2 linked regions of the Drosophila melanogaster genome follow. The protein of the gene in region 1 binds, or shares a complex with, the protein of each later gene. Each region holds a gene or a part of one and is shown on either strand. Other genes may lie near its edges.

Evidence for each region. Proteins that work in one complex are often made in the same cells at the same time.
Region 2: xmas (region 1) and Nup188 share a complex: the UniProt entries of both Drosophila melanogaster proteins name them as parts of the nuclear pore complex.

What each region holds. Positions count from the first base shown.
Region 1 is NC_004354.4:17,155,536-17,161,306, reverse strand, and holds the start of xmas (xmas), read left to right. Parts: upstream 1-2,000; 5' UTR 2,001-2,092; coding exon 2,093-2,136; intron 2,137-2,200; coding exon 2,201-3,734; intron 3,735-3,794; coding exon 3,795-5,771. UniProt on the Drosophila melanogaster protein: Involved in mRNA export and mRNA coupled transcription activation.
Region 2 is NT_033778.4:12,682,762-12,688,532, forward strand, and holds the start of Nup188 (nucleoporin 188kDa), read right to left. Parts: upstream 3,419-5,771; 5' UTR 3,312-3,418; coding exon 3,286-3,311; intron 3,224-3,285; coding exon 1,986-3,223; intron 1,914-1,985; coding exon 1,804-1,913; intron 1,745-1,803; coding exon 780-1,744; intron 724-779; coding exon 1-723. Other genes in the region: CG13148 (uncharacterized protein), read left to right, coding at 4,246-4,318, 4,836-5,019, 5,078-5,771. UniProt on the Drosophila melanogaster protein: Component of the nuclear pore complex (NPC), a complex required for the trafficking across the nuclear envelope. Required for proper protein transport into the nucleus.

The DNA of each region.
Region 1 (5,771 bases):
ATCAGTTACATAGTACCTCCCGTAACTCCAGAAGTGTTATCCATCAAAATTACTATCGATGGGTAAAGTAATACTTTATAATACTATATCATATATATCAGGTATATCCCCTTACCTTGCCGGCCGCCTTGATGTAGCGTCGCGTGGCCTCCTTGACGAGATCGCGGACGAGGAGTTCGCCGGAACCACAGGGAACCAGAATGCGAACGTCGCCGAAGCAGACGGTGACCTTCATTTCGTACTTTTCGTGTTAACAATAACTATTATCGTCTTCGATCTGCGATAATAAGTATGTATTTTTGACTGCTGCAATGCACTTTTTATTTTGCACACACATATATGCACTTGATTAAATTGGGCGATCGTTTCTTTAACTTATTTTTTTCTCGAATTTTTCGGATTTTTTCCTATTACTATTTTGTATGCAGCTACTTTTTTTTAACGCTATGCTCGTCTGCCTGCAGCAGCTTTTTGTTGTTCTTGTTGCTGTTGTTGTTACGACCGCATCATCATCATCGTCGTCGCTTTCCAGCTATCGCCATCCTTGTTGCTCCTTTCGCGTGCACAGTGCGCTTGTTGTTGCTGTATTGTTGGTTGTTAGGCAGCTGCAACAAAAGTTGGTCTAGGGCGGCATGGGTGCGAGCGAGATGGCTGCGTGCCTGGAAAAAGGATCGGGATCGCTTTCCAGTATGTACTTGTAGTCGCTCTCGCGCGCTCTCCCTCTCTGTCGCTCTCTGGAAACTGGAACTCTCTTTTGCTATTTACTTAGCATATTTCACCGTAAGGCATCGTTGTTATTGTTTGTTTTGTTGTGTTTGTGTGATTCATACACGCGCGCATTAAAAAAAACGAGTTACAACAACGGCAACCATAATAACAAGAACAACAAACAGCGGGCCAAGATCATTTATTTACTTCTTTTTTTAACGTTCTTCGCTCTCGCTCGCAAACTTGGCATTTGTTTTGGTCAAATTATTATATATTATGCGCTGTAGATTGCATGGTTTTAAATTTACGGTTCGATCATCGTTTTTATATCTTTTCTGTTACTCTCTTTTAACGTTGCTTTTGTCGTGTTTTTCGTTTTCGGTTATCTCCTTTTTCGCCCGTTGGCGTCGCTTCTTTCTTGTTGTTTATCACTTTCAACTATTCATATTTCGATTGCAAGTGGAATAGTATCGTTGACCGCCACTCTTATTAACGAACTATTTGAACTCAAAAAAATGCAAAAAAAATCCACGAGCAGCGCGTTGATTACTGCGCTTCGAGTTCGAATTCGCCCTGGCGAGCAACAACAAATGACCAAAATTCTGGGGATGGCAGGCTCATCGATACTATCGGAACAGCAGCTTGGCTTCTTCGCGGTATTTGGTTATACTTTACTGGGCGGTCACACTACTGCTCGTTATCTCCCGCTTATTTTAAAATCAGGGATTGGGCTAAATGCCATCTAATTCTGCAATAAGTTTTATTGAATTTGCATTGCTTTATATAAGTCAGCCTATTAAATAGAGATATTGATTAAGAGGTAATTAATCGTCTTAAAATATTAAAGTGTAAAGATGAAAATATTTCTTATGTAAGCTATGTATAAATATAAAATACTAGGAACAACCAATTTCGATAGGATTAATTGTATAGTCCTAAGAACGACAGATAGTGTTATCAAGATCGAGGAGTTTGAATCGAGAGCTTAAAAGAGAATAAAAAGAACTTAAAAAGATTGCTACACCTATATATATATTCATATATATATAAGATAATATAAGAAGATGTTCGATTTCATTCAACAGTTTAAGGAACGCCCCAAGCATTTCCTAATTTCCTAAGAATATATGTTTACCAACTCCTGTTAACATTTTATTTATTAGGCAAATACATTCATCTCGAATGTAAAACATTAAAATTTTCAATTAAACCTGAACGATATTGTGTGGGTGGGATAGCCATTGCGGTATTTTTTTCGCGCCATTTTCAGATTTGCGTTATCGATTACCGGCAATCGCTTGACGGCAATATTGTAACAACAAAGCACACATTCGCTCTCATTCAGCTAAAAAAGAAACTAAAAACCTTAAACTATATTCGATCGATGGCAGAACCCCGTCCCGGCGGCTACAACTACAAGACATTATTGTGAGTAAAAGTTCGTTCATCAAAGGCAGAGCGATGTCAACTATAGTTCCATACGAATCCCCAGATGCAGAAACATTCCGGAGCTATTTTTGGACAAATATGTGGCGCGTTCGCACTTTGGACGTTTTGGAACCCTCGTAAACTTCGTCCTGCGTCCGCGGCGAATGACCTGCACCGTAAGCTATGCCAGCGAGGACGAGGCGGCGCGGGCGCTTCTCGATGGCGCCAGCTTTCAGGGTCACCTGTTTGATATATCCTATGCTGATAACGAGACGGCGCCGGCACAGAAAACGGAGGAGTGGGTGGATCCTGACATTCAGGCGGAGTTGAGTGCACTGCAGTCGGGCTGGCGCAATGAGTATGGGTCGGGCAAGCCGATAAAAAAACCACAAAATGGCAGCAGTGGTAGCGGTGGCAGTTCAATGCTGCCTGCCATACCAGTTGGGCCCGCAACGGCGCCGGTGAGCAGAGATCGTACGCCTGCCCAGCTCAGGGATCTTGAGAACATGATGCGCAGACCCGCCCATACAAGCGAGGAGAAGTTCAGCGTGCTGGATGCCCGCGATAAGCTGCTCCGGTTGAACCGAACGCAACACAAGCTGTCCGGTGCCACCCAGGGTCACTGCGCCGATATGTGTCCGGAAAAGGAGCGCGTGCTGAGAGAATTCCAGCGCCAGGTAGCCTACTATGAACTACAACCGGGCTCCGATGAGCTAATCTGTCACGAAAGAGCCCTGAAGCAGTACTCGCGCAGCAGTGCCGACCAGGAGACGCCACTGCCGCATGAACTGCGCAATGAGACTGCCCTGCACATGACCATGAGCTATCTAATGCATGAGATCATGGACATTAGCGAGCGCCAGGATCCGCAAAGCCATATGGGCGATTGGTTCCACTTCGTTTGGGATCGCACGAGGTCCATCCGAAAGGAGATCACCCAGCAGGAGCTATGCTCTCTGGGCGCTGTGAAGCTGGTGGAGCAGTGCGCCCGGTTTCACATTCATTGCGCCGCCCGTCTGGTTGACGCCGATCCCAGCGTCTTTGACAGCAAGATCAACGCCGAGAATCTAACCAAATGCCTGCAGACTCTGAAGTACATGTACCATGACCTGCGGATTAAGGGCGTTCCATGTCCCAAAGAGGCGGAATTCCGGGGCTACATTGTGTTGCTCAATCTGGCCGATGCCAACTTTCTCTGGGACATCGGTCAGCTGCCCGCGGAACTGCAGAGTTGTCCCGAAGTGCGTCAAGCCATTCAGTTCTACTTGGCCCTGCAGGACACGAATTTTGTGCGGTTCTTTCAGCTGCTGGCTGACAAGGATACCAGCTACCTGAGTGCCTGCATCCTAGTCAATTACTTTACGCGACTGCGCGTGCTGGGGTTGCATCGTCTGATCCAGGCGTATAGGTCTCCGCGGAAGGATGAGGTGTCTTCGCTGCCTCTCAGCTACATCGCCGAGCTGCTGAGCTTTGCCAGCGAACAGGAGGCGGCGGATTTTGTCCAACACTATGGCCTGCAGATCAACGAGGCGGGCAGAGTTGTGCTAAGCAGAATGCACACGGTGGAGACGGAGTACAAGCTGCCGCGACAGTATGAGGTAAGTAAATGGTTTTCTTTTTTTTGTTTTATTAATTTGATTTTTATTATCCACTTCCAGTTGGTGGAAGTGAAACGCGTGAAGAGCGTGGGCGAAGTCGTCAGTGGGGAACCTTTACCACCACGAGACCTCTACCTCAATCACCGACCGCACAATAGCTTCGACGATTATGGAATGCTTAAGAGCATTGCATGGACGGCCAAGGATCAGCTGGCTGGCATGCAGCAAGAGGAGATGCAGCCACAAATGCCTTCGCAGCCACCAGCAGTCTCAAAACATAGCGATACTTTGTTTAAGGTGCCCATGCAACCCGACGGAACGGCAGCAGGGTTTGGAGTATTTGCTGCGGCTGCTGTTCCGCCAGCCTCCTCCATCGATGGATTCAGTTTTGTTCTTCCCAAATCACGTGCTCAGGAGTTCCAGGAACAAGCTCCGGCTACACAGCAGCGACGGGCACAAGAAGAGGCCAAGCATCAGGCCCTCCAAGTAGCCATTGCCGCTGCAAAGAAGCGGGAAGCTGAGCTAATGGCTATTCACGAGGCCAAAGTGGCCGAGGCTGAGCGAGTGCGTCAGCAGAAACTCAGGGAACGCCAGGAGCAGCAGCGTCGCCAGCAGCAGGAACTGGAGGAACAACGCCAGCGGGAGCAGGAGAAACTTCAGCTGGAAAAAGAGAGGCAACTGAAACTGGAACAGTTGTTTTTTGTGCAGCAGCAGGAAAGGGAGGCCCACAAACAGACCAGGACTTTGGAGTTGTATCAGGAAATATTCCAGGACACCCTCGCGGAGATTTGCCAAAGCGAGTTTATGTCGCATAGTCGGGCTTGCCGTTCCTACGAATCCATGCTGGACTCAATAACACGCGATCTCGTCGAGCGGCAGATGGAGCAATCCATCTACGAACTAGGCGTCATGAGGGTGTGCATCAGACGATGGCGGAAATATCGGCGAACGCAACAGGAGAAGGACACGCTATTTAACCAACTGCCTTTAAGTTTTGGAGCCGAAAACCCCGAAGGAGTGGTGAACAAACGAAGCATGGAAGATTCACTGCGTCTAAGCAGACGCTATCGACTTGGCGAGCCCTGCGATTATGGCAAACTTCTGGCTGGCCTGGAGGAGCATAGTTGGCTGAAACTGGATCTGTGGCACGTTTTGGACAAGTGTCTGCCGGTAGCGCAACCAGGAGCTAGACGCTTCTACAAGCTATTGATAAGCCTGTCCGGCGGCCAGGAGGGTCTCCAGTTGAACTGCGATTTGGATAGGGGACTACTGCAGCAGCCACAGTCGCCGGATGCTCGTTTTGTGGATGGAGGCTACATCAGAGGCTTCTCTCAGGGTATTGGCTTGAGTGTGATGAAGATCCGAGATGATGACCACGACTGGAAAGCCACCGACCTGGCCGAAGCCAATGGTATTATTTGCTTAATCGGGCTGGATGACATTCGTTTACTGCCGGATCGCTTGAAACCATTGCTGCAAGCAAGCCGCTGTCATGATGTGGCTGTAATTGTTCAGCATCCAGCTAATACCGCCTTTGTTCAACCTGATATTCCTCTCCAGGAACTATGTCTGCGCTCATTTAACATCTTTCGTTTGCGAAAATCTGGAAACAACCGCCAGCGCTTAATGATTGCACTGGAATCGGCTGTAAAGTTTTTGGCCAAAGCCACGGAAAGGAAACGTGTTGGACATCTTCACCAAGTGGAGACCCGCGAGTATTTGCTCGTTAATCTGGGATCGGAACTATTTCGCCGCCTAAAATACGCCGCTGAGCACGATACGGCCATTAGAAGCGACACTCAGCTGAATCCACAGCGTTGTGTGGACCTTTTTAACGAGGCAGTGCACCGCCTGCAATTGGTAGCCGGCGAGGATTTAAGCGACTGGCCCCAGTTTCCCGAGGAGCTGCGTGTCTTTGTGCAGCCACTGCCCATCGAATCATCACTAAACACCAATCGCTTGGAGCACTTTGAACCCGGTTGGCACTTGCCCGAGCGACGTCAGCGTATTGTCCAGCTTTTGGAGCGCTGTAAACTT
Region 2 (5,771 bases), on another chromosome or scaffold:
AGTTTTTTCCAAAACTGTTTATCCTTCACTAGATCATCCACTAGCATTTGCAGATTATGTTTCCACATTGAGTGGAAGATGGTCATGATCTTAGCGGGCAAGGCCTGTTGAATGGTTAATGGATCCACTTGAAGGGCGTCCAGAAAGTCTCTCATATAAGTGACAATACTCTCGCCAATATTGGGAACACAATCCTTACTGAAAAATGACCGGGAACGTTTATCAAGGGCATAGTTAACCTTGAAAAATGCCTCGGTAACACCCGGTTGCTTGGCAATGCATGCGTCCACCAGCTCAAGGATGGCTATCTTTATGGAATCACTTTCTAGCTCATCAGGCAACTTCTGCATAAACGTCAATCGGATTTGATCAGCCTCCATGTCCAGACAGGCCAAGAGAGACATATTGAACTGGAGAGCGATTCTTTTCAGCAGGCGGCAAGACAGAATCGGTAGCCATCTATCAAATATGTTGCTCATGTAACTGCATACTGTAGGTATGATCCGCAGAGTATCACGCTGTTTGGGTTGTGTGTATATCAACGCCTCCAGCGGGGAAAGGGTCTCACTGTTTCCATATACCTCTTCTTTAAGGCGCAGTAACTGCATCAGGATACGCATGGATAGACGGACTAACATCATTAAGCCGTGAGGTTGCTGCTGCATCCAATTTGTCTCTAGCTCCATGGTGTACTGGACATAAGCATTGCCCACACCAACAAATCTAAAATATACATTTTATTTAAATTTATTCTTGGTTGGAGTTACGGTAGCTCTTACCTCAAAAGAATCAGACCATTTTCCAAATTTAGAAGGGAATAGACGCACACCTTTACCAAAAGTTCGCGTTGCTTGCAATTAGATTCTTTAGCAGTGTTAAACAAGTCCAGGATGTCGCATATAAAGCTAAGAATCTCGAAGTAGATCTTGTTTCTCTCCACTTGAGAGCTAAAGTGCCAGGTGTGCAAGTGCGGGAAAACATCCTTTAACAGGAATATAAGGCCGGGAATCTCCATCTGGATTTGGCGATTCCGTTTCAGGTTGGAGTACGCTCGCAGGAACCCAATGTATGAAAGCAAGAATTCGTAGCGCTCCCTTTTCTTCTCCACATTATCAATGACGGAGCCTAAAAAGCGCGACTCAAAGCCCACTCCATTGGCATTGGCATACATCTTGAAGTCGTAGTGAGATCCCGGGCTTACTGTTGGCAAGATGTGTAGGTTGCTTATCCGCGAAAAGATTTCCTCGTCTACCAACGGCAGCAGCGCAGTGCAAACATTGAGACAGCTAGACAAAAGTCCAACCGGTGGGTATTGAACGCTTTTGAACGTGTGCAGCAGATCAACGCACATCTCGGTAGGATGCACCATTTCGGCGCTGATGCCGGATATCGATTGACTGAGCTTAACGGCACTTTCCAAAAATCTTAAACCAGCTTCTACATTGCGTATGCGTTCGCTCGATTCAAAGTCACCATGCAGGTGACCCGTCTCGCGTAGCAGGCAGTTAATTTCGTGGTGCAGCGCGTCAAAGTAGTTTACCGGGAAACGAAAGTGCATAAAGCAGCCGGACGGATGTTGGATGGCTGTGCAACTAGTTCCTGCGGGTATGGTAAAATCAATTTGCTGAAATGGTTGCACGCTGGCCAGGAGCTCGAATTCATTTGTGTCCACTTCTCTGAGTTTGTGCTGACTTTCGTCGTAACGAAGAGCCAATATGGGCAAAGCCTCTAGTTGGCTCTTGACCTGCAAGATTGTTAAAATAATTTTAACTGATGCCTTTGAGTGTACAAGTATTGGCTTACATAGTTGCCTTGTCCCGCTTTTGTCAGTGACAGTGCCAGTTTGGACAGATGTGTTAATTCTAGAGGGAAGTTCTCTAAAAGAGTTTTGTACAGCGAACACGGACCATCATCTAGATAAATGTAAAGTTGTTCGTTCTAAACTAATTTTTTCGGTTAAGCTCTTTTGATTATATGATACTGACCTTCCCGACTGCAAAAGTCTTTAGCTAAGTGTGGCCATGAGACAAGTTCGCAGAGCAATTCGTAAATGCCCTCATACCGAGCGCAGCTGCCATCGCCGTCGAAGAGGTCGCACAGATATCCAACCTGGTTGTATATGGTTCTTCGCACAATCCGTGACAGCATAGAGTCATCGGCGTACATAGAATGTCTGGCAATTAGGTGCAGTTGGACAAAACACTTAAGATCCACGGCTCGCTTGCCCAGCTGCCGACAGCGGAGCAAGCTGGAGGCATCGTCGGCATCGTTGGTGCCTCGCAAGCGAAGCAGCATCCACGCTAGGAGCAAAGGGCCATGCTCTGGTCTGTGGTACATGCTGGCAATATCAACCTGCAGATCCTCTATAAGCTTTTCAATTAGATCGGAATGCTTCTCGGGCTTCTCAAAGTCGAGGCACTTTAAAACTAACATTAGCTCTGAGTAAGAAAGGCTTCGAATAATCTCCTGATGGTAAGGTTGGCTGTCATCCAGATAACTTTGCATCTTTCCAAAGGAGTGTTGCTTGCAGGCGGCAAATATTCTCTTTATCTGCTCCAACCCCATGGGCAGGTGTTCCGCTAGCACCAGAAGGATGTGCAGCACCTCGTTGATCTCACGAGCATTTCGCTCCGACCAGGCAACTAAGCGTTCCGCAGAGTGGAAGCATTCTCCCGCCATTAGCTTTCTGGGTGGGACTTCGCAAATAAGGCTCTCCAGTTGGTCTAGGTATGAATCTCTAAGGCGGGGGATGGTTATCTTTTCGACCACGGCGCGATACTCCCGGTGATAGGGATGATTCGGTACCTGGTGAAAGACGATAAGATTCTTAACAATCTTGAGGACAACCATGCGTTCCAGGGAGTAGTAATGCCGTATGTCTTCGTGCAGTTTGGCCATATTCGTTTCGGTAGAGATTAGTTGGGTAAGGAGACTCGCCGATCCACGGTACTCCTGCGTAAGGTAGTAGCAAAGGATTTCCCAGCACTGGGCGGATTCTAGATCCAACAGATCCTGCAGTCGTTCGGTGAAGGGCAGCAGCTTTTCCTGCTTTTTCTCTTTGAGCAACGTGCCCAGCTCGAGGCTGGAGGCATTCTTGGGCTTAAATTGGAGCACTCCAGCCTGCAATTCAGAAGCCACGTTCATCAGCTCCTCACGTACAGTATCCTGCGGCGTCTCATAGTGGATTCCTGAGACCATCGGCCACAGGCGCTTCCAATCGGTGCTACATGGCAAATCGAAGGATTTTATTTAGTCATTCAATATTGTCGCACTGCCGATACTCACATCACGCTCTTTTCCACCGCAGGCATTGTCTAGGCTCTGTCTCTTAACAACTACAATAAAAAATTATTTAATAACAAATGTATTCTGTTCCACGCGCAAATTCGCGGCGTTGGAGTTGCCACCTAGCACAATAAAATGCCGGGACAATCAGCTGGTAACACCGAAGGTGTATCGATAAAACGATAGTTCTTGTTTTAAAAAGCCAGTTAGAAAATTGTGATACAGTACTTTATACATTTTCTTTAGCTTACTAAATCTTACTTAAATCAAGGTATGACATCTTAGATCTGATGATCGCTTATAGATTTATACAAATAAAATATACATGGAAAGCACGTGTGCGCCCCATTATTTATCTATTATTGTAGCATTACAGTTAAATTGGTATATATTTCACGCGAATAGGTTTAGAAACCTATTTTATAGGTTTCAAATATAGACGTTCGCATGTGGCCCTTCAATCATAACTTGACACATGCATTTAGCATTCAGATCTTGATATTTCCCAAATATTTCATAAATAGCCTTCCAATCCAGCCGGACTAGAACTATTTAGGTTAGACTTTCCAATCACATAAAGCCATTCCAGTGAGGCTGTGGCTGCGGCTAACAGACCTGCGAAGTCAGAGTGCAAAGTGCGCAGATGCTGCACTCCGGCGCCCACTGCACCGCCCAGCCACCCAACCACGCCATTCTAGAGGCCCATTTCTTGGAAACTAATACCACTACTCCTCGGCTAGCCGCAGCCTCCCATCTTTTCCAGATCTAAGAGCGAGCGAGAGAGGAGCGGAGAAGGCGCGAGAGAGTAGGCGCACTCGAAGTTCACGTTCACGGCGCCTGGAAGCTGCAGCCCGAAAATTGTCCTGTTAGTACGAGAAAACTATTGACAGGCGAAAGGTCTAAAATTGCTCATATTCTGGCAGAAAAGGCAGATTGGACTTCAAAAGTCTGATAGCCGCAATGGCTCAAGTTCAGCTCAACGCAGGAAATGGGCAAGCCCCTAGCAACGGAAATAATGTCGAGGATAATGAACGTAAGTCTGCCGATTGGCAATTGTGAAATCATAATAGAAAATTGAGTGATTGCCCGGAAAGTGCACAAGTGTTGGTCTGCACAGTCCTAGTGGAAGGACATATGTGCATACCTACGCACATAGTGTGTGTCATGTATCAGGATATATGTAGGTATATATGTATGTATCATAAAGGTGTATGTCAGCAGCAGCTAGCATCTTTGACATAGCTAGGATGCTTTTTGGCCTGGCGTTGGGTGATAACTTAAACGGGAGAGCGAGCATGAGAGCAGGATAACAAAGAGAGAGAAATGTCTGAAAGGATGCTGCGAGAGCGCCAGAGATGCCACTGCTGCCCAAAAGCAACAAGTTTTTGAACTTAAGCTAAATCAGATAAGGCTAGAACTACCTCGATTTCGTTAGTTAATTTCGTAGTGTATAAAGGGGTATCAAATATAATTATTATAATCTGTAAGCTTTTATATTATTCAAAACAAGGACAATAATTAAAGGTAACTTATTTCTTTTATTTCCATAGCCTATCAAATAAGTGACGATGATTTGGATGACCTGGATGATGATTGCTTGCTCGAGGAGGCAGATACCTCAGGGGCAGGCAATAATGTGGGACGTGGTCCTTACGAGCGTGCTTGGACCACAGAGGCCACCAGGGCATTGATTCACATACGCGGTCCCATGGAGGGTAGCTTTACAGAGGGCAGGTGAGCAAGGTTTTTATTCCACCGTAAAGACATCTTTGTAAAAGTAACTCCCTTACAGACAAAAACGGACTGCTCTTTGGCTGCACTGCACCCGGCAACTACAGCGACTGGGATTTCGCTACTCCGCCGCAAAGGTGCAGAAGAAGTGGCATAACATCCTCATCACCTACAACAAGAATCTGAACAAAAAATACGTATCCGGCTATGTGCACTGGGAGTTCTTCGAGGAGATGTTCAAGTATCTGCAGGGCAAGAAGGCTGACTTTGATATGCAGTTGCCACAACAGACTTCAAATGCGCCACAAGCTCCACATTCGGCTAATGGGCAAAACCCGAATCCGGGTATTCCCCAGCAACCTTTACAGCTTCAACCTACTCCGGTGAGCCTAAAGCCGGGAACACCCCAAATGCAGGTGCAACTTCCACCCCAGACTGCGGCCAAGGACAGCCAGCCGTATATTACACCTGTGGATCAGGTCCTGCTGCAGGCCCAGATGAATCTGGACAGCAAGTCCAACGATGAGTTCGATGAGGATAGCAACAGCATGTCGGAGGTAGTCCGTCAACCCAAGATGGAGTACGATGGCGATCAAGTTGCGGAGGCTGAACGTACAAACGATAGCAGCCAACATCTGGAAGTTAATGGCAAGCTCTACGATCTGGCACGACCCATGGGCTCGCACCAAGCTTCTGGCATCCCCGATGACATCTGGTGGAAGGACTACTTTGAAAGAAAACTGGAAGTGGAGCGG